3 linked regions of the Macaca mulatta genome follow. The protein of the gene in region 2 binds, or shares a complex with, the protein of the main gene of each other region. Links are inferred from orthologs where the notes say so. Each region holds a gene or a part of one and is shown on either strand. Other genes may lie near its edges. The genes, in order: ABI1, CYFIP1 and WASF2.

Region 1 (10,281 bases), on a different chromosome or scaffold from region 2:
GATAGATAGAAGTGAATCTTATTTTTAAAAATAAATGAGTAAGGGTAAACTGCTGGTCATTAATGCTGCAGAGTTTAAAGACAGACAGTGTGAACTTTTGAACTGCCATACCACTAACAATTATTAGGAAATAATTTAAAATAGTCATAATGCACATCAGTTTTGTGAGTCCAATGGTGACTGACTAGCTATTTGGTAAATCTTTTCTTTATATAGAAATCCAGTATTAGTGTGCATTATTCTAGGCATGTGTGGTCTTTGCTAAAGAGGCTCTTGGTATTAGTTCTTTTTACCAAACATACGAACTTGGGTCAGTGATTCTCCTTGTGCCACAGATTCCCTAACTTTATTTGGTTTCTGTTTTCTTTGAAAGTATGTTAGGAAGATTGGTGTTAAAATATGTATCAGCACTTTAAATGTTTTATGAAGTACAAATTTTATGTGTTCTTCTCTTAAATACCCAGTTTATTATGACACTCAAAGTGGGTGATAATGAATGCATGTAGCAGTTAGCCTATTAATAAGTGTTTCAATTTAAGATACCAGCCTCTAAAAAAGTCAGCAGTGTGTTTGCATCTCTTTATGATTATGCAGAGAATTAGATTAACCAAGACTTCTGCCATAATTTGAAGATAAGACATGTAGATTTACAACAGTTGGACATAAAGACAATTTCGTGAAAACATTGAACTAGTGTGATAAATCGAGAGTAAATTCAAAGTACCCACATATATAATTTACACATTAAGCCAAACTAAGGATATGAACTATGGCTGTTTGATGTTGGGAGGGGTCCATACCCATTTTCCTGTCCTCAATAATATTAAAAAGTTTTATAGAGGAAGTTATGGACAACGATAAAATGGATCTAGGAATGAGGCAGAAAATTTAATTGTAGACCCGTTTGATAGGTGTTAGAGTGAGCATTACCATACAAGATTTGTTTTCTAATAGCCCTTTCATCCCTCAAGAGGATAAAATAGAAATCACAGCATTGAAGTGGTTATAAAAATAGGGTCATTATCTGCAAATATTTTAAACCTGGAGCCCTTGGTTGTATATTCAGCACATTATTCCCAGGAGGGTAAACGTTTAAACCTGTATGACAAATAGATTACGGCTGATTTCTTTGATCACGTAAATAGCCCCAGAAATTGGCATTTGATTTAGTGTGTTTGTATTATGAACTTCTCCCCTGCAGGAATTATATAATTCCCGTATCAATCTGTATGAAAACATTTTCATATGTCTTTTGAACTTTTAAAGAATTTTATGGATCAGAAATTTAAGTTAAGCACTAGTTGGGTTCCAGCTTTGAATTCTTTAAGTAATAGGAGCATTTTTACCTGATATTATGCTAGCTAGTTCATTGAACAGAGCTCTAGCCTGACATTTTCCCATTTCCCTGTTTACACCTTTGACTATGTAAAGCACACACATATATACTGACCACGACCATCTAGAGTTTGAGGTATGAGTCATTTTTATTGTTTTGTTTACTATAAGTTTCTTTTTGTTTGTTTTTTTAATTACATCTTCAACACTTTATGTTTAAATCTTAATTGTTGATGTATTCTTAGAAAATTGAATCTTTAGGATCTAGGCTTGCCCTCATCCCGTGCTTATGTTTTACTAGCAATAACGCAAAATTTTAGCTTGCTTTCTACAAAAAAACTGATTATGAATATAAACATTTTAAAAAATATTCAATTAGATTTTCTACTGGTTGGGGATTCTTTTTCCATTTTTTCAACTTGTAAAATGTAAATAACAGAGTAGAAAATCTATACACAGAAGCAGACCTAATACCACCAACTTTAACTTTCTCTCCATCAAAACAAACAATAATCAGCAAAGAAACAAAAATCTGTCCATGGGAGACTCAATTTTTAGGGAACCAAAGCTGTTTCAAGCCAAAATCGGGCATGAATGAGCAGAGTGAAAAGTGATCAAACCATTAATGTAATGTTACTCATATCGTTTACTGCAGTCCAAATGACAAAAGTGACATAGATTTAGTTTAGGTTGTTAACATTTGTCCCGATCTGAACCTTGGAATAAGGAAACTACTCCTATAATCCTTATAAAAAGAGACATTGTCTCCTAACACCCTGCATTCATTAATTTGTAATACTTCCAGATACACTTATTTTTAGCTCATTTTGTTATTTTTAAATGATTCTTGAGTAGCATAAACTTTAACACACCAAGCTTTTATTTCTAATCATTGCATGTTTTATTATAGTGCATGCTGTACTTAAGTTAGAGCTTTCTTAAATTCTGTTAACTTATAACTTTCCATCTAGACTTATTTGTGATTCAAATCAATCATATGAATCTTTTTAGTTGCTGATAGTCCAACTCCACCGCCACCACCTCCACCAGATGACATTCCCATGTTTGATGACTCTCCACCTCCCCCACCACCACCTCCAGTGGATTATGAAGATGAGGAGGCTGCAGTAGTTCAGTATAATGATCCATATGCAGATGGGGATCCTGCTTGGGCCCCCAAGAATTATATTGAGAAAGGTAAGGTACAATAATTGAATTGATGTGAAGGAATATAACCTAATTGTAGAAATTTAGGACTATAAAGAACATCTAGTCCAATGTTTCTCAGCTTTTTAAACTGCCTTACCAGCCAAGATGATTTACTTAAACCTTACTTCCTAAGCTTTGTATTATTCCCAGTGTACAGGGTGATTCTTTCTTTGTATTTTAAATTAAAATTGCAGTGTTAGATTTGCTTTCAAACTACATATGTGTTCAGCTGAAGATTAACTTGCTGGATGGCATTTTGTAGATGAAACAGCTAAGGCACAAAAATGGAGTTATATGTAATTAGTAAAGATTTTAAAAGTTCTGTCAAGCTCTGTTGATGACCTTTCATATCTAAATATAGATGGTCCCTGAATTACAATGGTTCAGTTTAGGATCTTTTCAACTTTATGATGGTACAAAAATGATATGCATTCAGTATGCTTCTCAACTTATGATGTAGCTTTGTCTGGATAAACCTGTTATAAGTAAAAAATGTAAGTTATAGGTTGAAAACGTACTTTCAATTTACAATATTTTCCACTAAACAGTGGGTTTATTGGGACATAACCCCATCATATGGAAGTGGAGGAGCATCTGTCTTTAAAAATTTATTAGTACTATCATGAGAAAAGCCTCAATTAAGGTGTCAGGTGATTTTATAAAAGAGAAGACAAATTACCAGGATTATATTTCATGAAACTATGAACTACTATAAAGTCGTAATTTACCTACAGTACCCAATATTCACTGTAATTATCTATTAAGAAATATAGGTGGGGAAGAAACAAATCCTGTTTCTAGTTTTTATTTTTTCATCTAGTTCTGTGCTATTTTAAAATCTGTATTTCTTTTTGCAGAAATGGGAATCAATTAAAAATAAAATCAAATCTGTATTTCTATAGAGTTCTGAAAAATGCTTGTAATTTAGTTGAACACTTTTGGTTGCCTTTGATAGATTTCCTTCTATTGACTTTATTGGGTTAACAGTCTTTAAGCAAGTAGCTGTAGCTCTTGAGACCAGCAGCATTCTTTCCTGCCCAAGTTTTGGATATGTGGCAAAAGTAAATTTGTTTTCCTTTTATATTTTTTTATTTTTTGAGGTGGAGTCTTGTTCTGTCTCCCAGTGTGGAGTGCAGTGGTGCGATCTTGGCTCACTGCAACTTCTGCCTCCCGGGTTCAAGCAATTCTCCTGCCTCAGCCTCTTAAATAGCTGGGATTACAGGTGCCCGCCACCACGCCCAGCTAACTTTTATATTTTTAGTAGAGACGGGGTTTTGCCATGTTGGCCAGCCTGGTCTTGAACTCCTGACCTCAAGTGATCCACCCATCTCAGCCTCCCAGTTGTGGGATTACTGGTGTGAGCCACCACTCCTGGCCTTATATTTTTAAACGGTAAATAATTTACATATTGTTAAGAAAGTCTTAAATATTCTACTTTAGATTCCCATATACCTTCAAATAGAGAGCTGTTGTTACTTATGAGGATGATAAACTTGAGTGGCCTTGAATTGTGTTTTTACCCATATTTTCTTTCTTGGTAAAGCAAATTTAATTATGAAAATGGGACCATATTTATAGAAGTTGACAAATTTGGAATGACATATCGGGTAATATACTTGATAGTAGAGGATTAAAAAGTATCTTCCCAAGAACTAGGGGTGAGCATACTTTGTTTGGTATAAAGCCAGATGGTAAATATTTTAAACTTTGCTGGCTATACAGTCTCTGTCACAACTACTCAGTCCTACTGTTGTAGCGTAAAAGAGGACATAGTACATGAGTAAGTAGATGTGGCCATATTGCAATAAAACTTTATTTACAAAAAATGCAGTGGTTTGGATTTGTCCATGGGCCATGATACACTTTAGATTGCTTTCCACAGCAGTTTGCAAAGGAAGTGAATATAGGCTGAGCATCCCTATCTGAAAGTCCCAAATTCAAAATGCTTCAAAATCCACAATGAGTTCCAACATGATGCCGCAAGTGGAAAATTCCACACCTGACCTCATGTGATGGGTCACAGTCAGAACGCAGGCACATGACACAGTTTATTCAGTGTTCCCAAGGGAAAAATAAAATTACCTTCAGGCTATGTGTGTAAGGTGTATGTGAAACAAAAATGAGTTTTGTGTTTAGACTTGGATCCCATCTCCAAGATAGTATCTCATTACCTATATGTAAAATTCCAAAGTCTGGAAAAAAAACCCAAATCCAAAGCAGTTCTGATCCCAGGCATTTCAGATGAGGGTTACTCAACCTGTATCTTGAACTGAAAAGAATTACAGACACCACAGAATTGCCACGTTCTCTAAATATTAATTAAAATCCTTTGAAGTAAGTAAATATTCTTTTTAAAAAATCTGGGAACAGTACCTTAAATTAGCATGGGTCCTTGAATGAGTAGGATGTGATTTACCTTCCAGTGACTGTGTATTTTCAAATTAGATAGCTTGGGTTGTTACCTGGTTTACTGAATGGCTATGCAGCTTTGCCTGATAATTATTTCGAAAAGCGGTGCTTTGTATATGATAGGCACTTGGTATTTGAATGAATTGAAACATCTAATAAATTCTGAAGTTCAGAGAGCTTTCTTAAAGTGATTGACAGAACCTATTGACCTGTTCAGTCTAATCAGATTGTCATTTGACTCTTAATTAAGCCAATGATATAAGTACATGGTTAAGTACATGGTTAGATTAAGCCAATGATATAAGTACATGGTTGGCACTGACCTACTTATATTGATAGATACAAAAATTAAGAAATCTTCATAAAAATGGTTTTGCTGTGCTATATATTTAATTGGCTTTGTCTTAAAATTCAAGTAAATGTTGGATATAGTGCATTCATGTGATATTTCAACTCTTTTTTCCATAGTTGTTGCAATATATGATTATACAAAAGACAAGGATGATGAGCTGTCATTTATGGAGGGTGCAATCATTTATGTTATAAAGAAGAATGATGATGGCTGGTATGAAGGAGTCTGCAATCGAGTGACTGGTCTGTTCCCTGGGAACTATGTTGAATCAATCATGCACTATACTGATTAATTTTTTTTTTTTTTTTTTTTGCTTTTAAAGTAGATTCTTATTACTCAGTCATACTGTGGGACAATTATGGTTAACAGAACTGTCTTAATATGTTTTAAAATGTGCCCATATTTTCAGAACATGCTGTTTTATTGGTAAATTGAATGTCTACCTGTAAGCATAAATCTTTGAGGCAGTTTGTGTATTGCTAAATAGCAATTTATACAAGAAGCTGTCCATAACTGATTATGCTTATGTACTTACTTACACATTTTTAACTTTATGACCAGCCTAAATATTCTGGGGGAAGTGGGGTATAATATTTAACAAATCATTATTCAGATTGTACCATTACATGTTTCAGTGCAGCATGATTACTAACGCTATGTCAGACTAATATTAAAATCAGAAAATTTAAATGCTGGTGCTGGTCAGACTTTTTTTGTTAGATTCTCTCATTTAAAAAAATACTGTTTGTTTAAAGCATGCATAAAAATTTATGTATTGAAATATACTTAAAAATTCCAAGATGCTTCCCATTTGTGTAATATTTACCTGGAGGACTCATACTTAGGTGTCTTAACATGAATTGAGTCTCCAAGGGTCTCCATGTGAAACAAAAGAAGCAAAAAGAGAATTATCTGTAATGTTGTAATTTGTACCTAAGTTTTTTAATGAGTGAAATTTGCATTATAAATTTTTTCCATTCATAAATACATAAGTGAACCAAAGGTTTTTGTCCTTTCCTTCACTGGTTTGCTTTAAAAAAAAAATAAAAGATAATGATTTATTGCAGAATTATGGTTCTATTTTCTCAATATGTTAACTTGGAAAAAAATTTTAGCCTTATCTTAATCTGTCCCAACAGCAATGTGACGGGTTTTTGCAGATTCAAAATCTGCAATGGTTATTTACAAGTCAATCTACTGAATTCCTTTTTTAAAGAATCTTTTGAAGCTAAGAAAATGTGTCAAATTGTGTGCATTCATTCTGTAAGTAAAATTCGTAAGGATTGCCATGTCCTTCAGTTTTGCAGTGGACTGTTGTACACTGGTTCAATGAAAGGAAGTTAAAAGTACCTTTTACATATTGTAAAAGTGGATACAGTTGATTTGTGAATAGGCACTATTTAATCCATTACCTGGCACTAGCAACATTAGAATTTTAAAATAAAATAATTGGGAAAGAAGGTGGGTCATGTATTAATCAGTGAACAGAGATTTACCTAATGAACAGACTTGTATTGTCTTTTGACATAATCAAAATGCAACACATGCACTTTGTGTGTCTCCTCTTAATTTAAGGGAGGGCTGAGGGATGTTTTCTCTTCTTGTGTATAATTCTATATTGCTTAGGATATTAAAGTAGAGCACTCAAGTGTGGGTTTCTGTGTTATTGAGGATTTGTTTGGAATTCAAATTACAGTTATGTACTGGACGTTACAGACTTGTAACACCATAGTGAATGGTAAGACTAGTGCAAAACAGTTATTTCTGAAAATTAAAGACCATTACTGCTACCAAATCAATGTGACTATTTCATACGCATTTTGCCTTTGTTAATTTTAAACAAAGTATCATTAGTGATCAGCTAGCTACCTTCTACTTTCCATTTTTGAAGTGGATTGTTCTCTTAATTTGTATATAACCTGTTGTCTAAATTTTATGTACAGTCTTTTATAATAAACCATTCTCCTATATGAAACTTTGGATACTGTTAAAATATAACTAATGTGGACTTCAATGCAGACTTCACATTTTTCTCATCTTTACTCCCACAGTAAATCAAGACAAACCATTTGAATTTTAACATCGATTATTTATTTGTGTAATGGCCTTACATGTGGATATTAACAGTGTAAACAATACCACATATAACCATCAAGATACCTCGATTATAATTTATAGGACTAGAATGACAGATTCAGATGGTTTAATTACATTTAAAAAGTTTTCTGAAAAAACTTTTGCAATAAAAAAAATAAATTGCCCATCAATAAGTTTGATATCTTTTAAAATGATTTTTGGTTATCTGCACATGAAGCAAACAAAGTGTATTCCACAAAATTCTTTAGGCACAGTCTGGTAAGATAGCTGCCAGAAAGAACAGAAAGAGTTGTCATTTCTCTCTTGTGAGGACAATTTCTGAAAGTTGAATGAGGGCATCTCTTTCTGGGGATGGTCGAAGTTTACTGATCTCTCTTATTGCTTCATGGCAGTACTGCTGGGCGAGGTAGGTTGTTTGTTGCACACCATCACTCTACGAGATACAGAACAAAACAGAGCAGATGCCTGTCACTGACTGAATCAGCATTTTAACTTCCTGCTATAATAAATGAACACATAGTTTTGAGATCAGATGAGCTGAGGGTTACAGTTTCAACAGTCAAACTACATCTCTAATGTTCTTTTCCCGACTCATAGTGCTAACTTCCTTTAGGCCTTTTTCTCATATTGAAGCAAATTTTTATTCTATTAGCATGCAAAACAACTAGCTCATCAATATTACGTGGTCATCCATTTTCCCCTTTTACTTGACTTTCTCAAAAGTTCTACATACAAAGTATTGTTATACATTTAAATGTAAAAAAAACACAAGTAAAACTTATAAAGAATAAAGACATAACAAAATGAAAGTACAGAGGGTTTATGAAGAAAGGTTCCTTTCTTCCAAAGGCACTCACTTTATCCATTAGTTTTTCTTTTTCTGTTTTTTTTTTTTGAGACAGGGTCTCACTCTGTCACCCGGACTGGAGTGCACGGCGTGATCTCAGCTCACTGCAACCTCTATCTCCCGGGTTCAAGCAATTGTCCTGCCTCAGCCTCCCAAGTAGCTGGGACTACAGGCGCATGCCACCACACCCAGCTAATTTTTGTATTTTTTTTTTTTTTTTTTTGAGACAGAGTTTTGCTCTTGTTGCCCAGGCTGAAGTGCAATGGCACGATCTCGGCTCACTACCACCTCTGCCTCCTAGGTTCAAGCAATTCTCCTGCCTCAGCTTCCCTAGTAGCTGAGATTACAGGCATGTGCCACCATTCCTGGCTATTTTTTTTTTTGTATTTTTAGTAGAGACAGGGTTTCTCCATGTTGGTCAGGCTGGTCTCGAACTCCTGACCTCAGGTGATCCACCCACCTCGGCCTCCCAAAGTGCTGGGATTACAGGCATGAGCTACCACACCCAGCTAATTTTTTTTTTTTTTTTTTTTTTGTATTTTTTTTTTTTTTTCTTTGAGATGGAGTTTTGCTCTTGTTGCCCAGGCTGGTCTCAAACTCCTGGCCTCAAGTGATCTGCCCACCTTGGCCTCCCAAAGTGCTGGGATTACAGGTGTGAGCCACCTTGCCCAGCCTAGTTTTTATTTCTTGATTGCCAGTTTTAGTTATTATCTGTTACCTTTTTATTAAGATGAGGATTTAGCCCTCCCATATTGTGCCTCCTGATCATGACACTGCTGTCTTTAGTTGTTTTGTTGATTGCTTCTGTTAGGTAGCATCAACTTCTGATTTTATCTTGTATGAGCTCCTGTCCTGTCCTTTAACTATACTATTAGACTATGGATATTTACATTCTATTCTGTAACCATGTTTTAAAATATTGGTTCTTTCTAAAAGCCAAATACTAATAAAGTATCATTTCTATGATGTAAAAATATTTACTGCAGAATCAAGTCATATACTATAATTCTGTTTCCTTCTCCATGGCTCATGATCCCTCTGACATTTATTATTTATTTATTTATTTATTTATTTTGAGACAGAATCTTGCTCTGTTGCCCAGGCTGGAGTGAAGTGGTGTGATCTTGGCTCACCACAACCTCCGCCTCCCAGGCTCAAGGGATTCTCGTGCCTCAGCCTCCTTAGTAGCTAGGATTACAGGCGTGTGCCACCACGCCTGGCTAATGTTTGTATTTTTAGTAGAGACGTGGTTTCACCATGTTGGCCAGGCTGGTCTCAAACTCCTGACCTCAAGTGATCCACCCGCCTCGGCCTCCCAAAGTGCTGGGATTACAGGCGTGAGCCAGTGCGCCCAGACCCCTCTGACATTTAGAAATAGAATATTCCTAACACTGTGGTTGAAAGAAATCTGATTTTCTATACCAATTGCTCAAAACATGACACATTTTAGTTTGCTGTTCCTTTTTGTACAGAAGCCTGCCTTCTCTCAGTGTTTTCCACACATTTTGCTGAAGTACATCTGCAAATAACCTACCCAGAAAGTGTTCACGCAGGCCAGGTGTGGTGCTCACGCCTGTGATCCCAGCATTTTGGGAGGCCGAGCTGGGCGGATCACGAGGTCATGAGATCGAGACCACAATGGCCAACATGGTGAAACCCCCGTCTCTACTAAAAATACAAAAATCAGCCGCGCATGGTGGCGGGCGCCTGTGTTCCCAGCTACTCAGGAGGCTGAGGCAGAAGAATCACTTGAACCCGGGAGGCGGAGCTTGCAGTGAGCCGCGGTGCACCACTGCACTCCAGCCTGGCGACAGCGAGACTCCGTCTCAGAAAAATAGAAAAAGTATTTATGGGAAGTCAGTGTTTTAGTCCCGATGTGTGGTGACTTTCTTTTGCCTTCAGATATAATGGATCTTAGGTTTAAAATGTTTAATCATTATTTGCAAGACCTTCCTCCACTGCCTTCTAGCACCCAGTATTTTTGCTATTCATTGAGCCAGTTTTGACACCTTTTTCTTGCATAAGTGACCAC
Region 2 (10,332 bases):
GCTGGATGGCCACAAAGACTGATTTAGGTGGACATTAATGAAAAGACTCATATATGGGACTACACTAAAATTATGAACTTCTGTTCAGCAAACGACACCACTGAGAACGCGAAAAGGCTACTGGAGGCGGGGGAGGAAGGGAATATATTGGTCAAAGCGTATAAAGTTTCAGTTCCGCAGCATCGGTAAGTGTTGAAGACCTCACCTGTGGCACGGGAGCTACGCTTAATAACAACGCATTGAATCCTTAAAATATGCTAAAAGAGTAGATCTTAAGTGTTCTCATCACAAAACAAAAAAATGGCGTGTGAGGTGATGGACATGTTAATTAGCTTGAATTCATCATTTCACAATGTGTATGTGTATCAAAACATCACACTGTACACCATAAACATATACAATTTTTATTTGTCAATTACACCTCAATAAAGCTGGGAAAAAGTGAAAGGGTAAGCCTCTTTGGGGAGAATACATGTACATTAAAACGTAAGGCCAGGTGCAGTGGCTCAGGCCCGTAATCTCGGCACTTTGAGAGGCTAGGGCTGGAGGACTGCTTGAGGCCAGGAGTTCGAGACCAGCCTGGGCAACATAGGGAGACCTCATTGCTACTGAAAGTTTAAAAACTAGCCAGGTGTGATGGCAAGCGCCTGCAGTCCCAGCTACTTGAGAGGCTGAGGTGGGAGGAATCACCAAGGCCTGCTACACTCCAGCCTGGATGACAGAGCAAGAGCCTGTCTCAAAAACAAAACAAAACAAACAAAAATACTCACTTGTGCCCAACAAAGGACGTGTATCCAGAATATATAAATAACTATAAATAGGGAAAAAAGAGCAAAGACTTGAAGTGGCGCATCACAAAGGGAACGCGCTAAGAACATGGAAAGCCATTAGGGAAACGTGAACTAAACTACAATGAAACACTAGCCATTACAATCCCAATGATGTATGCATCCTCAGGATGTCCCCCAACCCCAAAAAAGACAGTGCTAAGTACTGTCAAGGATGTGGCACCCCCAGAGCGTTCTCTCACTGCTGATGGGAATGCAGATCAGGACAGCTATGCTGGAAAGTCATCAGGCCACAGGTAACTACTAACACTGAAAACAGATACGCCCTGTGACCTCCGGTCCCTCTCCTGGGTATGCACCCAACAGAGGAGAGTCGACCAGAGCTGCACTGTTTGGACTCACCAAAACCCGGGAACGTCCGAGAGCCCGCCAACATCGGAACGGGCAAGTTACGGTGTGGTTGTGAGACAGAAAACTACACCACAACCGAAAGCTATGAGCTATAGCTATGGGCTTCCTCCAGGATGCACCTAACAAACAAGAGGCTGGTGACAGCAGCCGGACACAAAAGAGTAAAATAGCACAATTCCATCTGTATAAAGCTCCACCCAGGCAAAACCAGCACCGGGCAGAAGGAAAGACAAAGCGCGGTTGCCTCTGCAGACAGGAGAACATGCGTGGCCCAGACTCCACCCAGCCCCAGCATTTCCTGATATAGATCATGGTCACACAGGGGCTCACTTCCCCAAAATTCAAACTGCATGCAAATCAATAAAAACATTGATCTAAAACCATGTAACTCACCTTGAAGTACTTGTCAATTTTGGATAAGTTTATTCTTTTCTTGGCATCTAACTTATAGATGTTACTGACACTCCCATCCATCAGGTACAGACCAAATCCCATGACCTGAAAAGCCACAAAATGAATGATGCAATAAAGCTCACAACTGCAAATTTAATTACCCGTAAGGACTTACACTGTTACAGCTGACGATTTCAAAGGCACAATTTGAAATATATCATAAAGATCTATATTTAGGCTGCTTGTCTGGTGCTTGAAATGCATCATTTTATCCTCAGTGAAACTGCTACAAAGCGGGGCTGGGCTTCCAGGTCAGTTGCTAAAAGCGGAAAAAACAAATCCTCTACCCTAAACTCACACAAGCAGTAGGGCTATTCTAGGGCTATTAGGTTGGTGTAAAAGTAATTGCGGTTTTTCTGCCATTAAAAGTAATGTCCAATATGCAGTCACATGTAACCAGTTACGTTTCGGTGTATGCAAACTAAAAATTCTTTTTTTTTTTTTTTTTTTTTTTAAGACAGAGTCCCACTCTGTCACCCAGGCCAGAGTGCAGTGGTACCATCTCAGCTTACTGCAACCTCTGCCTCCCAGGTTCAAGTGATTCTCCTGCCTCAGCCTCCCAAGTAGCTGGGACTACAGGCACCCATGACCACCACGCCTGGCTAATGGTTTTTGTATTTTTAGTAGAGATGGGGTTTCACCATGTTGGTCAGGCTGGTGTAGAACTCTTGACCTCAAGTGATCCACCCACCTCAACTCCCAAAGTGCTAGGATTACAGGCATGAGCCACCGTGCCTGGTCACAAACTAAAAATTCTTAATGTAGACTAGCCACCTGCACACTCCAGTGCTCCACAGGACCTGGCGGCCACAGCTCCCACACCAGCTGGTGCAGACCCAAAGTCTCTGCTGTCACAAAGCACTCCATGGACAGTGCTCCTTCAGCCCTGCGTGCCTCCCAGTGCTCTCCTGCTCACGGACAGCGCTCCTTCAGCCCTGCGTGCCTCCCAGTGCTCTCCTGCTCACGGACAGCGCTCCTTCAGCCCTGCGTGCCTCCCAGTGCTCTCCTACTCACGGACAGCGCTCCTTCAGCCCTGCGTGCCTCCCAGTGCTCTCCTACTCACGGACAGCGCTCCTTCAGCCCTGCGTGCCTCCCAGTGCTCTCCTGCTCACGGACAGCGCTCCTTCAGCCCTGCGTGCCTCCCAGTGCTCTCCTGCTCACGGACAGCGCTCCTTCAGCCCTGCGTGCCTCCCAGTGCTCTCCTGCTCACGGACAGCGCTCCTTCAGCCCTGCGTGCCTCCCAGTGCTCTCCTGCTCATGGACAGCGCTCCTTCAGCCCTGCGTGCCTCCCAGTGCTCTCCTGCTCATGGACAGCGCTCCTTCAGCCCTGCGTGCCTCCCAGTGCTCTCCTGCTCATGGACAGCGCTCCTTCAGCCCTGCGTGCCTCCCAGTGCTCTCCTACTCATGGACAGTGCTCCTTCAGCCCTGCGTGCCTCCCAGTGCTCTCCTACTCATGGACAGTGCTCCTTCAGCCCTGCGTGTCTCCCAGTGCTGTCCTACTCACGGACAGTGCTCCTTCAGCCCTGCGTGCCTCCCAGTGCTCTCCTACTCATGGACAGTGCTCCTTCAGCCCTGCGTGCCTCCCAGTGCTCTCCTACTCACGGACAGTGCTCCTTCAGCCCTGCGTGTCTCCCAATGCTGTCCTACTCACGGACAGCGCTCCTTCAGCCCTGCGTGCCTCCCAGTGCTCTCCTACTCATGGACAGCGCTCCTTCAGCCCTGCGTGCCTCCCAGTGCTCTCCTACTCATGGACAGTGCTCCTTCAGCCCTGCGTGCCTCCCAATGATCTCCTGCTCATGGACAGTGCTCCTTCAGCCCTGCATGCCTCCCAGTGCTCTCCTACTCAGGAGGAGGCTGGGGGCTGGGCTGGTGGGACACCCAGCAAAGGGTCCCCCAAGGCCACCCTGCAGAGGTGGAGAGCAGAGCAAAGGGAACGGTGGAACTGCCGACCATCTTTCCCGTGAGAAATGCAGATGGAAACCTTCTTCATTTGAACAGAATAATAAAGAATATGGTGAACCAACAAAAGGCTACTTTAATTATGGTGACACAAGGTATCAGAGTCCCAGGAATCACATGCTTGACAAGTAGAATCTTGGATAACTTCTTTAAGTTAACTTTAAGCTGTCACAAAGCAGCTTAAAGGCTGGGTGTGGTGGCTTAGACCTGTAATCCCAGCACTTTGCGGGGGGACAAGCCAAGAAGATGGCTTGAGCCCAGGAGTTCAAGGCCAGCCTGGGCAGCAAAGTGAGATCTCGTATCTACAAAAATTCAAAAACTTAGCTGGGCATTGGTGCAAGTGCCTGTGGCCCCAGTTACTCAGGAGCCTGAGGCAGAAAGATCACTTGAGCCAAGGAGGTCGAGGCTACAGTGAGCTGTGTCCACACCACTGCACTCCAGCCTGGGTGAAAGAGCAAGACCCTGTCTCAAGAAAAAAAAAAAAAAAAAGGCTGGGCACAGTGGCTCAAGCTTGTATTCACAGAGCTTTGGGAGGCTGAGGCAGGAGGGTCACTTGAGCCCAGGAGTTTGAGATAGCCTGTACAACATGGCAATTTTCTCCCTCTACAAAAAATTTAAAGATTAGCCAGGCGTGGTGGTGCACACCTGTAGTCCCAGCTACTTTGGAGGCCAAGGTGGGAGGATCACTTGAGCCCAGGAGGTTGAGGCTACAGTGAGCTGTCATCATGCCACTGCACTCCAGCCTGGGCAAGAGCCCAACACCCTGCCTCAAAAATAAAACAAAAAGCAGCTCAATGCTGAGAGAATCCTTGACCCAGACATCCTGGCCAGCACCTTCTCCCAGGGTCAGTGTGTGACACTCGTGGGGTGTGTTGAGAGCCTGTTGTGCAGGCTGTGGGCAAGGGCAGAACGCTGTTCACACACAAGACACCGTGCAAGTAAGACACAGCTGTCAAAAGGATTCTAGAAAAGCACAGCCTATTGACAAGAGTAAGGCTGTCCCTCAGCAGTGCCACAGGCTGGCGTCCCCACACACGTACTTTGAGAAGCATGTGTTTCTCACTGGGCGTCAAATACATCCTGTTCTCGTAGTAATCCACACACAGATTCACGATGTCTGCCAGGAGCTCTTCGTAGCCAGAAATCACTTCGAGCTGCTGCTGCAGAGACTGAAACACAAGCAAGAGACTCACGCACGGGCCCGGCGCCCGGCCAGCGGCTCGGCCCATCCGCCCGAGTGTGCGAACACCAGCCTCACCTGTGTGATCTTGTTGTGATTGGCCAGGAACATGGACAGATTCTGCGATTCCTGGATGGACTGTGGATCTGCCATTTTACGTAAAAACTGAGCGGCCCTTTGAAAACAAGAAGAGTTCATCCCAAAATGCACCTATGTGCCACGTAAAAAGATAAAAAAAATAAAAGCCTGGTTCGAGTGGGATCCCCTTCCTCTACAGTCATCTGCAGAAATGTGGGTCAACCTCTGACGCTGGCGATGATTTCAGCCTTTTCAGGCGTCTCCGGCCCTGCCCTCCAGGTCAGTCTTCTGCCAACTTAGACGTGTCTTGCACAGCTGGGGACAGCTCTCCACCCTGCTGGTCACAGCCGATGGGCTTCCTGCAGGGTCCCTGCACACTGGTCTCTGCCCTTCACTGGTGGATGCCCACCTCATCTAGGGGGGCACAGGGCTGGCTGGACCCCAAGTCTAAGAAGGGCCACTGCCATCTCCGTGACTCCCACAAGCCCTGCCATGAAGATGGCCAGCACTGCTGAGGTTCTCTGCCGGGAACCCTCTGGACCACAGCTCCCCAGGCCACCTCAGGGACCACTGGTACCCAAAGTCCTGAGACAGAGCCCTGGCCTGCCACCAATTTGTAGCTACACCCGACATACAATACCACAAGGCCATGCTGAGCCCACGAGGTCTGGCAGAGCAGGGTGAAGGTGGGGTGTGAGGATTCCCATCATCTAGGGCTGTCCCCCAAGAAAGTTCAGTGGAAACGGCCCACACAAGGATAGGTCTGTGCAACCCAGAGCCTTGGGGGTTTAGCTTTAAAAGTCACCATGGCAAAGACTGATAACCTACCCCAACAATCACTTCCTCCTCTTCCTCCTTAGGAATGAGCCCCGCATTCCTGTGGAACACACGTTCCAGGGAGCCTCACACATTCCATGTACCTCGCCTACCCTGCAGCTAGCTGTGGTCACGTGACCAAGGACTGGGGCCATGAGATATAATGCAAGACACTGACAGGCACTCCAAAGTTTACTCATAAGGGAGCATGGAGCCCATCTTTCCTCCTTTCTGCCTGCTGACTGGAATGCAGAAATGACAGCTGGAGCTTCAGCAACCATCTAGAACCAGGAGGCAACACCTGAAGCAGAGCAGCAGGCCAACAGGAGCCTCGAGTCCTGAACGCCGGACAGCCTGCAATCAGCTGCAGACCACCTCATTCAGGACTTTCCAGGAGACAGAGAAATAAACTGCAATCTTTTCAAAGCCACTGTTACTTCACTGGGTTTTAAACAATTGCATACAGTTAAACTTAATATTGTAAACCTAATGTTACTGATACAGTAACATTCCTTGGCTTTTTAAACATGTTTCCCGGCCGGACATGGTGGCTCATGCCAGTAATCCCAGCATTTTGAGAGGCAGAGGCAGGTGGATCACTTGAGGTCAGGAGTTCAACACCAGCCTGGCCAACATGGTGAAACCCCATCTCTACTAAAAATACAAAAATTAGCCAGGTGTGGTGGCTCACGCCTGTAATCCCAACTACTTGGGAGGCTGAGGCAGGAGAACTGCTTGAATCCAGGAGAGGCAGAGGTTGCAGTGAGCCGAGATTGTGCCACCGCACTCCAGCCTGGGCCAGTGAGACTCTGCCTCAAAACAAACAAACAACAACAACAAAAACATGTTTCCTTTTTTTTTTTTTTTTAAATAGACAAAGGGTCTCACTCTGTCACCCAGGCTGGAGTATAGTAGTACAATCACAGCTCACTGCAGCCTCGACCTCCTGGGCTCAAGTGATTCTCCAACCTCAGCCTCCCCAGTAGCTGGGACCACAGGTTCACGCCACCACACCCAGCTAGTTTTTTTTGCTTTTGTCTTTTTTTTTTTTTTTTTTTTTTTTTTTTTTTTTTTTTTAAGAGATGGGGTCTTGCTATGTTACCCAGGCTGGTCTCAAATTCCTGGGCTCAAGTGATCCTTCTGCCTCAGCCTCTCAAGGTGCTGAGATTACAGGTGTGAGCCATCGCACCTCGCCACGTTTGCTTTATTGATTTGAGTAGTTGCTGAGGCGGCAGGTGAGGAGACTAAGGAAACAGTCAAGGATACTGTTTTCTATTTTCCTCAAGCCTCACCATAACCACACGAGTTATCTTGGCATTGGCACTTAGAGGAGGTTATACTAGTAGCTACCAGCAGGTGCCAAAAGAGCTAGGTGCGTGTGTGTGTGGCGGGCGTCTTGGGAGGGGTGGGGGTGATGGTCTGGGAGGGTGAACCAACAGGGGTCCCAGACAGAGGTCAGAAGAAGAGGCAGCAGGAAGAGCTACGGAGCTGGCCCAGGCCCACTCTCTGGTGCTCAGGGGAACCTGGAGGTGGTGAAGACACTGGGGACGGGGCTGCTGGAGGGGAAACCCTCCTTCTCCCAGCTTTGCACACAGCGGCCCCATCTGTAAACTGTTTTACAGACTAGGCTTTAGAATAAAGGTGCTAGTGCTAAAAGGAAAAAAAAACCCCACAACTTTTAAATATTGAAAACCACTGATGCTGGCCACCTCCCCATTTCCCTGACAAAGCCAAAACGGTGGTGGCTAAGAAGGCTGCTCAAAATCACACAGCGACTGGGTTGTGCGGCTGGGACCAGGAGGCCACTGCGACCAGTGAGCCTCGATGCTGGAATCCCACGGATGCTGTCATCAAACAGGGACCATTCAGACGTCCGCCCCAAGAGGGGCTCACAGGCCCACTCCGGAGACCCTTCTCTAGTTCTGAAGATCTAGGCTTCTGTGCAGAGCTGACGATTTTAGTGATAACGGAACACTGCCTTAGTTCACGTGAATGAGGCTTAAATTCTGCCTGACCTAGCTTGACTCCTACTGCTGCCTCATTTTGTCCCAAGTGGGGATTTTTCTTTTTATAAAGACATAACAACAGTTGTATGATTTAAAATGCAACATAACTAGAGCGTATTCAGATGCAAAGTAAGGTCTCTTCGAATTTAATTTTAGAGCTAAGATGCCTTACTTACTAGAGGAAACTGAAATTAGCATCTCATTCCAGCAAAACATGTCTTCAAAAGCACCGGGCACAAACGAAGCAGAGCATCAGGAGACAGCGCCGTGTGTCCCCGAACGCCTGTCTGCCGCCCACCACCCCACAATCCTCCGGAAGCACACGCCGGGCCATGCCCGCCTCTTCCATCCCTCCTGCCGGTCTCTCCAGAGGCTAGCTTCTCCAGAAGCTCTCTACATCCAAAAAGAAAACCGCCGGGGAGAGGACCTGGAAACGCAGTGTGACCCCAAGACACCCTGTGACTGTGCATGGGCTACGTCTGCACGTTGCTGGATGGTGCTCAGGTGCCGGGGACCCCCACCGGCGAGAGACTGGCACCGAGGACTGCAGCCCCAATGCCCAAGGTGGGCTGCAGAGGCCACCTGCCCCCTTGCCAAGATGCTCCCTGAGCCAGATGCCTGTGCTCTGTGAGCTAGGCCTACAGCTTGTGCACGTCTGTCTTCCCAGGGGCGCGAAGGTCCTCCGTGACATCGAAGGACAGCCAGGGCACTAAGAGTCTGCTCTAGCTTTGCAAAGCCATGATATGCACTTACCTGCTGGCTCCCCTCACTTTATCCCCCAGAGCAGGTGCTCCCACAGCCCTGACACCGAGAAGTAGCCGCTGCCTACCAGAAGTGACGACTTCAACACACAAAGACACACACCTGCTACGCACGAGGCGGGCCACTGAGCTGCGCGCTCTCGGGAAGGCCCACGGCGCACGGGGCCGGTGCTCACCTCTTGTATGCTGAGTGGTCGTTCTTCACACTGCACTTCATGTTCTTCAGCTCGTCCAGCACAGCGAACATGTTGATGAACTTGCCCAGTGTGATCAGGTAGGCTTCAGACACAAAGTCCTTCCTCCTCTCGGCGTGGCACAGGCGCCTCACCTCCCCGCAGAAACGCTCAATGGCGTTTCTCTGTGCAGAGGAAGCGGGGGGCAGAAAGCTGCAGGTCAGTGAGGGGCCAAGCCCATGTCCCTGCTTCAAGCACCTGCAGTCACTGCTCCTTGATGAGAAAAATCTGCCCCGCGCGGCTTCGGGCCCAGGTGTTTACAATGTGGGCAGCCAGACCCCCTCCTGAAAGCAGCTCCGACGGCCTGCTCTGCAACGTCGTTACTCGTTTTGCACTTTACCAACTACGTCACTAAAGTAACAACATCTTGCTGATTATTCCAGCAAAATTACTGAGCAAAATGATCCAAGAAAACGTCTGCAAAATTCATACGTTCTAACTTTCAGAAGTGAAAAGTGGGAGAGATTTTTTTCCTCTTGGTAACTTTCAAGGTAAAATGAAAATTAATCTCCTAGTTAGTTCCATCTCCTCCCTCTGCTAATGGACATCATAGAAAATCTGGATGTTTCCAAAATACTTCTTTAAAAAGCAGCAGACCCCTTTCATGTGGCTGCTTCTTGCCTAATCAAGGCCAGGGCGAGGACCACCAGGAATGGACAGTCAGGGTGAGGCTGACAGCAAGAAAATACCTGAAAGACCAGATGAATCAAAAGTACAAACTGGCCAGGTGCGGTGGCTCACGCCTGTAATCTCAGCACTTTGGAAGGCCAAGATGGGTGGATCACCTGAGGTCAGGAGTTCAAGACCAGCCTGGCCAACATGGTGAAACCCTGTCTCCACTAAGAATACAAAAACTAGCCAGGCATGGTGGCGGGCGCCTGTAATCCCAGCTACTCGGGAGGCTGAGGCAGGAGAATCACTTGAACCTGGGAGGCGGTGGTTGCAGTGAGCGAAGATTGCACCATTGTACTCCAGCCTGGGCGACAGAGCAAGACTCCGTCTCAAAAAAGAAAGTACAAACTGGCAGAAAGTCAAAGCATTGTACTTGAAACTGACAGAAAGCAGACTCCGTGAAGGAAACATGAAATCACTGAGAATTCTGAGAACCACAAAAGGAGTGTTGATTCCAAAAGGGCGTGAGAAACTTTAGACTGTCAAAGGCTTGGTCCCTTTTGTCTCAGAAACTGGTTGCTTTAATTTGCAGGCACTCTGTTCAGGGTGTTCACATTGACGGCGATGGGTAGGAAGGTGTCAGCAACCCACCCCTCGGTGTTACACCCCCAAGATAGGGATTTTGCCATTTTACCTGGAAGTACATAAAATTCATCAGTTTTGTGACCTCAGGCTCCAGAACCTCCACGGTTTTCTCATAAATTTCCACTCTGTTAGGCTGCTCGTTACATTTCACCTGGAATAAAGAAACAAGGATGACATAAGAGGCTTGGATCCAGCCAGAAGCAGCTGCTGGGCAGCTAGAGCTGGTGATCCCGCCCTGCTGTGGGGTGAGACCCGGGAGGAGAGTGGCCAGGCATTGCAGGGGCGGGGCGGGGTGGGGCACGGCAGGGTGTGGGGAGGGAAGAGACAGGCGAGCAGGGCACCTGCGGGATGGCCCGGGAGCAGCTCCTCCAGGTGTACAGCATGACAGCA
Region 3 (10,950 bases), on a different chromosome or scaffold from region 2:
CGAGATCATGCCATTGTACTCTAGCCTGGGCAACAGAGCAAGACTTTGTCTCAAAAAAAAAAAAAAAAAAATTCAGCCAGGCACGGTGGCATGTGCCTGTAGTCCCAGCAACTTGGGGGCTGAGGTGGAAGAATTGCTTGAGCCCGGGAGTTCAAGGCTGCAATGAGCCATGATTGCACCACTGCAAGCCAGCCTGGGTGACAGATTAAAACCCTGTCTCAAAAAAAAAAAAATTAAGTTCAGATGACAACTTGTCCAGTTCATGGATGTGTGTATCAGCTTGAACCCAAACCATCTGCTCCAACTGCTGCCTCAGGCTCACTTCCTTCCATGCTGGGAAGACCAAGCATTGTTTACTGAGCAACTTTTATGTGCCAGACAATTTACATATATTTCCCATTAAATCCTCACCCCCGCCTTATGACCCTCTATTGTTATCCCCATGCCTTAGAAGAGTAGCTGAGACACAGTGAGGTTTGATGACTGTTCAGGTCACACAATCCTCTGTGAGTTGGCAGAGCTAAGATTCAAACCCAGGTCGGTCTGCCTCAAAGCTTGCATTCTTTTTTTTTTTTTTTTTTTTGAGATGGAGTCTCTCTCTGTTGCCCAGGCTGGAGTGCAGTGGCCGGATCTCAGCTCACTGCAAGCTCCGCCTCCCGGGTTTACACCATTCTCCTGCCTCAGCCTCCCAAGTAGCTGGGACTACAGGTGCCCGCCACCTCGCCCGGCTAGTTTTTTTGTATTTTTTAGTAGAGACGGGGGTTTCACTGCGTTAGCCAGGATGGTCTCGATCTCCTGACCTCGTGATCTGCCTGTCTCGGCCTCCCAAAGTGCTGGGATTACAGGCTTGAGCCACCATGCCCGGCCAAAGCTTGCATTCTTTCAGGGACTATAAGAAAAGTACAGAGACCCTTGATGAACAGCACCACTTTATTTGTTTATTTATTATGTTTTTAAATAAATGAGATGGGGATCTTACTTTGTTGCCCAGGCTGGTCTCAAACCCCTGGCCTCAAGTGATCTTCCCACCTTGGCCTCCCAAAGTGCTGGGATTACAGGCAAGCCCCCACTTTCAAAGCTGAGTTTCCTCCCCTGTAACATCCTCACTCATTCATTAACAACCATGATACTTTCCTTGGTGGCCCACAGGACCTGAGTGCTCCACCCTTCCTCCCCACTGCCACTATCCCCATTGGTTTCCATGCCTTTCCACACCATTTCCCTTGGCCTGCGACACTTTTCCCAACCTCTAGTTTATTCAAGAACCCCAGGCCAGGTGTGGTGGCTCATGCCTGTAATCCCAGCACTATGGGAGGCCAAGGCAGGTGGATCACTTGAGATCAGGAGTTTGAGACCAGCCAGGGCCACATGGCGAAACCCCGTCTCTACTAAACGTACAAAAATTAGCTGGGTGTGGTGGCACATGCCTGTAATCCCAGCGACTCAGGAGGCTGAGGCACAAGAATCGCTTGAACCCGGGAGGTGGAGGTTGCAGTGAGCCGAGATTGTGTCACTGCACTCCAGCCTGGGTTGTAGCCTGGGTAACAGAGCAAGACTCTGTCTCCAAAAAAAAAAAAAAAAAAAAAAAAAGAGCAAATGAACCCCCATTCATTAACTCACCTCAGACATCATCTCTTCAGGAAAGTCTCCTTTGACCCCACCCCATCCCCTGACATTCACTCTCATAAACACATTGCACTTTACCTTCTGCTTCCTTATCTCAGTTTCTGTTTTTGATTTGTCTGATCATTTGGTTAACAACTTTCTTCCTTCCCAGACTTTAAACTCCATGAGGGTCTGAGTCTGTTTTGCTTGCTATTGTAGCTACGCCACTGTCAGGCTGCCCTCGATGTGGGTGCTTAATAATTTTTCACTGAATGGATGAATCCATGAATGAATAAATAGCTACCAGGCACTTTATATACATGACTCATTAATGCCACAATTAACTCATTGAATCCTCACAACTGCCCTTTTGTAATCATTTCAGAGAAGAAGTAGGTGAGGCTCAGAGAGCTAGAGAGTGGTGGCGCTAGGACTCGATCTCAGGTCTGCCTAACCCCAAAGCCACTGCCTTCGGCACAGCTGCCTCCCAGCACCCAACAGCCACAGCCAGGATTTAAATAGTCCTCGGTTGTCAGACCACATGTCCCAGTTTGAGCCTGGAGGACACCAATTCGGATGGCACCAGGGCCCTGCTGGCACCACCCCCTTGGCTGTCTCTGCCCTTCTGAAGTCTTAGGCTGCTTCCCCTCCCACTCCCTTCTTGGCCTCCTTCCTTTCCAGGGAGGGAAAAGGACTAGGAATTACAGCCAAGCAGCTCTTCTGGGAAAAACAATCCTGTGGTGAAAAGAGGCCTGTTCTGAGAGCAGAGAAACCTGGATTTAAGTCCTGGCATGGAGGCAGCCCTGCTGAGGGCTCACAGTGGCATCACTGCCCCCCTCTGAGACTCTCCATCCTCATTTGAGATTCTGCGTAGGTTCTCGACCCATCTGTCACCCCCTTTTCACGTCCTGACTCCTCGGACCCCAGAAACAGCCTGGGCACACCCCTAGTGTCACTTTTCTTCAGGAACCCTGATGGTTAACAATAGCTGGGGGGTGGCCTGTGCCCAAGTCTATGTTGATCAGAGAGATGAGGGACTGGCCTGGCACCCTTAAGACCTTTCCTGGAATGCTAAAGGGATGCGTGAGGGAAGAGTGCGGGGGGCGAGGGGAGGGAAGTCATTCTCATATGATAATAGGCCTGAAAAGGGAGAAATACAGGAGTGGAAACCAAAAGATACAGGTTTGAGTTCCGGGGCTGTTTCAAATTCCCTGGAGGACCCCGGGTAAGTCATGCAACTTCAGGAAGACTCAGTTTTCTCTTCTGCAAAAACGAGGGTAATAATCTGCCTTACAGAGTTGCCCTAGAGAACCAAGTGAGGTATCTTTGCTAACGTGTGAATTTGTCACATTTCTATCTAGCTGCGGCCTTTTTTTTTTAGACTCGTTCTGTCTCCCAGGCTGGAGTGCAGTGGCATGACCTCGGCTTACTGCAACATCCAACACCCAGGTTCAAGCGATTCTCCTGCCTCCCAAGTAGCTGGGATCATAGATGCGCACCACCACGCCCAGCTAATTTTTGCGTTAATAGAGGCAGGGTTTCTTTTTTTTCTTTTTTTGAGACAGAGTTTTGCCCTTGTTGCCCAGGCTGGAGTGCAATGGCGTGATCTCGGCTCACCGAAACCTTCATCTCCCGGGTTCAAGAGATTCTCCTGCCTCAGCCTTCCGAGTAGCTGGGATTACAGGCATGGGACACCATGCCCGGCTAATTTTTTGTATTTTTAGTAGAGACTGGATTTCACCATGTTGGCCAGGCTGGTTTCAACCACCCGACCTCAGGTGATCCTCCTAGAGGCGGGATTTCACTTAGCCAGGCTGGTCTTGAACTCATGACCTCAAGTAATCCACCCGCCTCGGCCTCCCAAAGTGTTGGGATTACAAGCATGAGCCACCGCGCCAGGCCTTTTTTTTTTTTTTTTTTTGAGACGGGGTTTCGCTCTAGTTTCCTAGGCTGGAGTGCAATGGCGTGATCTCCGCTCACTGCAACCTCCGCCTCTCGGCGGAGAATTCAAGCGATTCTCCGGCCTTAACCTCCTGAGTAGCTGGGATTACAGGGATGCGCCACCACGGCTGGCTAATTTTGTATTTTTAAGAGACGGGGGTTTCTCCAAGTTGGTCAGGCTGGTCTTGATTTCCCGACCTCAGGTGATCCGCCCGCCTCGACCTCCCAAAGCGCTGGGATTACAGGCCAGAGCCACCGCGCCCGGCCAGCTGCAGCCTTTTATAATCAACAAGACGATCATATTCCCCACTCATGCATGAATCCTCAACAAACACTCCCGCATGTGAGGCACAGACGACTGCTCCTATTTTGCAGAAGGACAAACTGAGACCCAGATAAATTCTGGAAGATGTCTGAGGTCGCAGAGTGAAGTGGCTCAACCAGGGATCCGCTCACTTTGACCATGGCTTTTCAGTACTATCCCCCATTCCCAGCACCCGGGCCTCACCCCACATGGACAGTGCAGGGCGGGCTAGAGCTTGTGACTCACTCTCCCCACCCTACTTTCTGCCCCGGCTGAGACCGGAGTGAAGGGACAACACCATCTGCAACTTGAGGGGTGTCCACAGAAAGTTTACGGGCTTGGCCCCTTCCTTTCGCCAAATATAGCGGTTCTTTGAAGGCTAACAAGAAGAATTAATCTTTCAACACACTCTGTACGAGGTTTTACACTCTCTTCGGTGAGTTTTCCCTACTTTGAACTTAGGAGTCCGTTTGCCTTAATCTCTGCCCCCCACTTCACTTGGTTTGCACCCCGCTGTTTACTCGGATTGCGGAAGTCGCCCGGGTGGAGCTCCGGGGAGGGTACCCGTGAGTACGTCTTTTGCGTAGTTATTTAACTGGCATTTTACTCAGGCCAATGGAATGCCCCGAAGCCCCGGGTGGGTTGGGCAGTGAACCAATCAGGGCCATTGGCGGGGTGTGGCTGCGTCCCAGGGCGGGGAATACCGTAATGGCGGACACGGGCCGGGCGAGCGCGGCTGGGGGCGTAGCGCGCTGAGGGGGGTCCGGCCGTGTGGCAGCCCGCGAGGCGGTCCGCGGGAGCACACTCTGTGCGGAGACTGTGCGGCCGGCCGGCCTTTCCTGTCGCTGACGGCGACTGCGGGAGGCCAGGTGAGCAACAAGTCCCCTTGGGTAGACCCCGCCGGGAGGCGCGGGCCCCGGCCGGGCCGCTCCTCCCGAGCCGCAGGGTTCCGGGGGAGTGGGTGCCGCGACTCTCACTGCGGAGTGGCAGAGGCTGGGCGAGTGGTCAGCGCGGGGTGGTGTTTTAGTCCACCCCACCCCCTCAGGGAGGGAGGGAGTGACCCGGAGTCCCCTTCCGAAACTTGGAGGGGTCCGCAAGTCTGAGGGACTACGAGTGTCCCGACCTGACCTGGTTCTGCCATCAGCTCCCTGTGTGATCTTGAGCAAGTCACTTTCCTCTCTAGGCCTTAGTTTCCCCATGTGTAAAACGAGGGTTTCGTTGGCAGATGTATGTACAGGAGTTGGGTCCCAGCTGTTGTCTGAGATCTTGGACAAGTTCTTCCGCAGGCTGAGCCTCAGTTTCCATCTCTGGACCACGAAGTAACTGAGGTGCTCGTTGAGGCCCCGACCTGCTAAATATTGAGGAGCGGGAGGAGGGCACTGTGTGTGTGTGTGTGTAAGAGTGCGTGTGGGTGTGTGCGCGTACAGGATGGTCTGCAGAGTAAGGAGGAGAGTTGTCTAAAGGGGCTATTCCAAGGAGGACGTGGGTGCTACCCAGACCATGATGGGGTGAGTTGGGGTCCTCTTGGTTCTCCAGGAACGCTAGAGCCTCTGAGAGGGGAAGTTTTAATACGGTTGTCCATAGAACCAGAGAAGAGGAAGGACTCCTTGGAGCCCCTTGGGGCTCTGATTGGAATTTAGGCCCAGAAATCAGGAGGGTTAGAAGGAGGAGGAAGAACTTTTATGGCAGCCCTACTAGGTGCCAACCCTCGCTTAGGCCTATGAACTTTTACAGTGACCCTTGAGAATTTACACATAAGGAAACTAAGTTTCAGAGGAGTTAAGTAACTTGCCCAAGGTCACACAGTAAAGGGCAGAGGTTACTTAACTAAATTGTTTCCTCTCAGAATCTCTAGGCAAGGGGGAAGTCACTGCCCACTTAAAAGATAGTGTTAGGGAAGTTTGCCTTGTTGCAGATGGGGGCAGAGGTCTGGCCCCAGGTATGTGATTTGACTTCTGGCATGGGGACAGTCTTGATCTCTGGAAGGTTAATTATAAGTCCAGCCCCTTTATCCAGTCTGTAAGTTGGAAAGAACTATTTGTAAGTCGTAAAAGTCACTTTGAAGTGTGTCAGATCCTCAGAGAGCTCCATTTGAATCCTGGTAGGGTTGCCTGTAGAAGAAAGTTCAGCAGCTGTTGGTGTGTAGACTAGACTTTGGTTCAGGGTGGTGCCAGCCCATTCACTTTTCTCCTCCATCAGAGGGCCACATTTTCTTGGGATGGGAGAAATTTCCCATTTTTTAGTTCAAATTTCTTTGGATTTCTTGGGGTGAAAGGTTCAATAGCCCGCCTCTGATTAAGCTTAATACCCCTTTCTTTGTGCAACCTGTTATTTGACTTCTAAAGAGTGAAGATTGTGGATCTGAGGTAGGTGGTAGTTGGGTACAATAACTTGCTGCCCTTAATTTTTCCAAACCTCAGAGCTTTTGATTAATCAGAATGGTAGGAATGGCTATGGGTATTGTTCTCATATGTGAATGGTGGAGAAGAAAACTGGAAGAGGAAGTTGCTGAGAAAAAGGGCGTTTCTTAGCAGTGGAGCCAGTATGTATTTCTTTGTTTGAAATTCTAAAACCAGAAAAGCAGCAACTAAAGGAGGAAGGAAGGAAAGAACTGTGAAACTCTTTTTCCCGTTCAAATATCTTTAAGAACTGTTCCTGTCTCTAGCCATGTCCCAGGCTCTACTTTCATAGAAAAAGTCAATTGTAATTTGTTCAGAGTTTTCTTCTAGAATGAAATAATTTTAAATCTTAAAACCTCTGAGAATAATTGTTTAAAAATCAGAGCATTTTATTGAGTAAGTTATTTACAGTGGATTATTCTTTTTCTCAGCATATTACTAATTCGGTCTTATATATAAAATATATAATATAATAAAAATATATAATATAAAATAAATATATATAAATATAAATATGTAACATATACAATATATATTATAAATAATATATGAATTTATATATAATACATAAATATGTCATATATCATAAAATATATAATATAAAAAATTTATATATAATATATAAATATATATTATATATAAAAATATATAAAACTTATAGTATATAATATATAATACATATAATATATAAAAATATATGTATTATATATAACAAATATATATATATATCTGTCACCCAGGCTGGAACGCAGTGGCGTGAGCTCGGCTCACTGCAACCTTTGCCTCCTGGGTTTGAGCAATTCTCCTGCCTCAGCCTCCCAAGTATCTGGGACTACAGGCATGCAACCCCACACCTGGCTAATTTTTGTATTTTTTAGTAGAGATGGGGTTTTGCCATGTTGGCCAGGCTGGTCTCAAACTCCTGACCTCAGTTGATCCACCTGCTGCGGCCTCCCGAAGTGCTGGGATTACAGGCGTGAGCTGCTGCGCCCGACTGAGTCTTTGGCTGTATTTTAACTGTGATTTCAACCTAAGGAATTGATTTAGATATTACAGGATGCAAATATCACCATCACTTGAAAAACACATAATAATGTGTTTGGCTTTTGACACGTTAAGTCTTTTATTTTCTTTTTTTTTCTTTTGAGACAGAATCTTGCTCTGTTGCCCAGGCTGGAGTGCAGAGTGATCTCAGCTCACTGCAAGCTCCGCCTCCTGGGTTCATGCTATTCTTCTGCCTCAGCCTCCTGAGTAGCTGGGACTACAGGCGCCCGCCACCACGCCCAGCTAATTTTTTGTATTTTTAGTAGAGATGGGGTTTCACAGTGTTAGCCTGGATGGTCTCCATCTCCTGACCTCGTGATCCGCCCGCTTCGGCCTCCCAAAGTGCTGGGATTACAGACGTGAGCCACCGCGCCTGGCCTGACATGTTAAGTCTTTTTATGCTTTATTTTCCAGGATTGTGTGTACATGATAGTTGTGAAGACCCTGAATTTATTGCACGTGAAGCTCTATTAATACATTAATTCTCAATGTGTTGTATTTTCTGTAAAATAATTAGTCTTACTTGGTATACCAGTTCACAGTACCTTATTCAAAATCCTTGGCGCCAAAAAAAAAGTTATTGGGACCAAATGTATATCCAAATTTAAAAATTTTTGGATTTTTGGGTTTTGGAAAATAAATATGATACTATGTGTTATGTAATACCCCAGAGAGGTCAGGGCAGCACTTTTTAAATCAGATGCATTATTATTTCTGTAGTAAAATATCTGGATGTTCATACTAACTGGGATAAATAAATACTGCACTATTATTAGCCTTAAGTCATTTCTTGTCAGGTTTTGCCTCCAAATGAATAATGAAAAACCTATTTTTCACAGCCTTTGAATTTTGGAGATAAAGTGAAGGGATTTTAGATCTCTATAGGAAAAACTTACATGACAGGCCGGGCATGGTGGCTCAAGCCTGTAATCCCAGCACTTTGGGAGGCCAAGGCGGGCGGATCACGAGGTCAGGAGTTCAAGACCAGCCTGACCAACATGGTGAAACCCCGTCTCTACTAAAAATACAAAAATTAGCCGGGTGTGGTGGCGCCCGCCTGTAATCCCAGCTATTCAGGAGGCTGAAGCAGGAGAATCACTTGAACCCAGGAGGTGGAGGTTGCAGTGAGCTGAGATCACACTACTGCACTCTAGCCTGGGAGACAGAGCGAGACTCTGTCTCAAAAAAACAAACAAAATTACATGATAACAAGAGCAATTACAAGGAAAAATATTGTATAGCCCAGCTAATTTCAAAGTCATGGGTCCTAAAAATAATATTACATAGAAGACACCTTTTTTTGTTTCTGTCATACAGAAATCTTACTGTGATTAAAATGTGCCTGATAAGCATTTTTCCTTAAGTACCACAATTTATCTTTTAATATCTTCACTGGTCTCTGAAATGTTAGAATGACACCCTCCACCTCTTTTATTTTTAATTTTTAAATTTTTATTTCTTTTATTTTCTTTTTTTCTTTTTTTAAACAGTAGAGATGGGCTTTCGAAATGTTGCCCAGGCTGGTCTCAAACTTCTGGCCTCAAGTGTTCTTCCTACCTTGACCTCCCAAAGTGTTGAGATTACAAGTGTGAGACTTCACACCCTGCCCCCACCTCTTATTTAAATAGTAATTTGTAGGGTCTTTGCTCATCATTTTTTTGTGTAGCATTTAAGAGAATTGTACTTTTTGCATATAATTCAGAGAAAAACAAATCAAATGCAGATCTGTAGATTCATGTTTGCCAATTTTTTTTTTTTTGAGACGGAGTTTCACTCTTGTTGCCTAGGCTGGAGTACAGTGGTGCAGTCTCGGCTTACTGCAACCTCTGCCTCTTGGGTTCAAACAATTCTCCTGCCTCAGCCTCCTGAGTAGCTGGGATTACAGGCATCTGCCACCACGCCCGGCTAATTTTTGTATTCTCCAAGTTGGCCAGACTGGTCCCAAATTCTTGACCTCAGATGATCCACCCACCTCGGCTTCCCAAAGTGCTGGGATTACAGGCATTAGCCACCGCGCGTGGCCATGTTTGCCAAATTTTAAAGCTGATTTTTTTCCTTTAGAGTATTCTTTTTTTCTGAGATGGAGTCTCGCTCTGTCGTCCAGACTGGAGTGTAGCGGCACGATCTTGGCTCACTGCAACCTCCACCTCCCGGGTTCATGCCATTCTCCTGCCTCAGCCTCCTGAGCAGCTGGGACTACAGGTGCCGCCACCATGCCCAGCTAATTTTTTTTTTTTGTATTTTTAGTAGAGACAGGGTTTCACCTTGTTAGCCAGGATGGTCTTGATCTCCTGACCTCGTGATCCGCCTGCCTCGGCCTCCCAAAGTGCTGGGATTACAGGTGTGAGCCACCGTACCCAGCCTAGATAGTATGAGGTAAAAACTGTGGATGAGATTTGGGTCAAAATTTTGTTTACTTTTAATTTATGAAACTTCCACAATTTGCACATCTTGGTGTAAGGAGTTTACTAAAATACATTTAATTTTGAGTATTTTTATTTTAAGTGTATGCTATATGAGAAACTTCTGTTTACCAGCCATATGAATTTGGGTGGTTTCTTTAAATGGCCAAGGGCCTCTACTAGCACATTTTCAATAACTCAGGCTACTCTTAGTTTTCTCGGACATCTCTACTGTAGAGTGAGATGGACTGGTATTATTGGAGGATGAAGAATTATTTTTTCTCTTTAGAAGAAAGCCCCATGACAGCATGGATTTATGGAATTCTGTCCTTTAAGAAACCACGTAGTTGCCTGGTTTGAGGGCCTGAATTCATCTACCTACTTGGGGTGGCTCCATAGTTCCTAAGAATGGTACCTTCACTGTCTTGGAGATACAAGGGATGAGAAGCTGTATCCAGAGTTGCAGGAGTATGATTGGACTTGGGAATGGGAAAAATTATTATTGTTATTATTTGAGACAGGGTCTCACTCTGTTGCCCTGGCTTGAGTGCAGTGGCAGTATCACAGCTCATTCACTGCAGCCTCAACCTCCTACGCTCAAGCAGTCCTCCTCTTGCCTTAGCCTTTCAAATAGCTGAGACTATAGGTGCGCGCTACTATGCCCACCTAATTTTTAAGATTTTTTAGAGATGAGGTCTCACTATGTTGCACAGGCTGGTCTTTTTTTTTTTTTTGAGACGGAGTCTCGTTCTGTCACCCAGGCTGGAGTGCAGTGGCCGGATCTCAGCTCACTGCAAGCTCCGCCTCCCGGGTTCACGCCATTCTCCTGCCTCAGCCTCCCGAGTAGCTGGGACTACAGGCGCCTGCCACCTCGCCCGGCTAAGTTTTTGTATTTTTAGTAGAGACGGGGTTTCACTGTGTTACCCAGGATGGTCTCTATCTCCTGACCTCGTGATCCGCCCGTCTCGGCCTCCCAAAGTGCTGGGATTACAGGCTTGAGCCACCACGCCCGGCCCCAGGCTGGTCTTAAACTGAGCTCAAGCCATCCTGCTGCCTTGGCCCCCTAAAGTGCTGGGATTACAGGCATAAGCATAAGCCACCATGCCCAGACCCCTCACCCCCTTTTTTTTGTTGTTACATGAGATGGAATCTCACTCTGCCACCCGTGCTGGAGTGCGGTGGCATGATCTCGGCTCACTGTAACCTCTGCCTCCCGCGTTCAAGGGATTCTACTGCCTCAGCCTCCCTAGTAGCA

The links.
Region 1: CYFIP1 (region 2) and ABI1 share a complex: the UniProt entries of both Homo sapiens proteins name them as parts of the WAVE2 complex. The link is inferred for Macaca mulatta from reciprocal best matches to the Homo sapiens genes CYFIP1 and ABI1.
Region 3: CYFIP1 (region 2) and WASF2 share a complex: the UniProt entries of both Homo sapiens proteins name them as parts of the WAVE2 complex. The link is inferred for Macaca mulatta from reciprocal best matches to the Homo sapiens genes CYFIP1 and WASF2.

What each region holds. Positions count from the first base shown.
Region 1 is NC_133414.1:28,110,728-28,121,008, reverse strand, and holds the end of ABI1 (abl interactor 1), read left to right. Parts: intron 1-2,346; coding exon 2,347-2,532; intron 2,533-5,421; coding exon 5,422-5,597; 3' UTR 5,598-7,280; downstream 7,281-10,281. Other genes in the region: all trans-polyprenyl-diphosphate synthase PDSS1, read right to left, coding at 7,695-7,835. UniProt on the Homo sapiens protein: May act in negative regulation of cell growth and transformation by interacting with nonreceptor tyrosine kinases ABL1 and/or ABL2. May play a role in regulation of EGF-induced Erk pathway activation. Involved in cytoskeletal reorganization and EGFR signaling.
Region 2 is NC_133412.1:1,423,397-1,433,728, reverse strand, and holds part of CYFIP1 (cytoplasmic FMR1-interacting protein 1), read right to left. Parts: coding exon 10,284-10,332; intron 10,094-10,283; coding exon 9,992-10,093; intron 8,811-9,991; coding exon 8,629-8,810; intron 4,967-8,628; coding exon 4,870-4,966; intron 4,781-4,869; coding exon 4,652-4,780; intron 4,102-4,651; exon of another isoform or gene 3,617-4,101; coding exon of another isoform or gene 3,387-3,616; intron 3,239-3,386; coding exon of another isoform or gene 2,518-3,238; exon of another isoform or gene 2,085-2,517; intron 1,698-2,084; coding exon 1,593-1,697; intron 1-1,592. Other genes in the region: uncharacterized protein LOC144329802, read left to right, coding at 2,518-3,238, 3,387-3,616. UniProt on the Homo sapiens protein: Component of the CYFIP1-EIF4E-FMR1 complex which binds to the mRNA cap and mediates translational repression. In the CYFIP1-EIF4E-FMR1 complex this subunit is an adapter between EIF4E and FMR1.
Region 3 is NC_133406.1:213,456,977-213,467,926, forward strand, and holds the start of WASF2 (actin-binding protein WASF2), read left to right. Parts: upstream 1-4,535; 5' UTR 4,536-4,719; intron 4,720-5,250; exon of another isoform or gene 5,251-5,358; intron 5,359-9,354; exon of another isoform or gene 9,355-9,495; intron 9,496-9,540; exon of another isoform or gene 9,541-9,669; intron 9,670-10,838; exon of another isoform or gene 10,839-10,950. UniProt on the Homo sapiens protein: Downstream effector molecule involved in the transmission of signals from tyrosine kinase receptors and small GTPases to the actin cytoskeleton. Promotes formation of actin filaments. Part of the WAVE complex that regulates lamellipodia formation.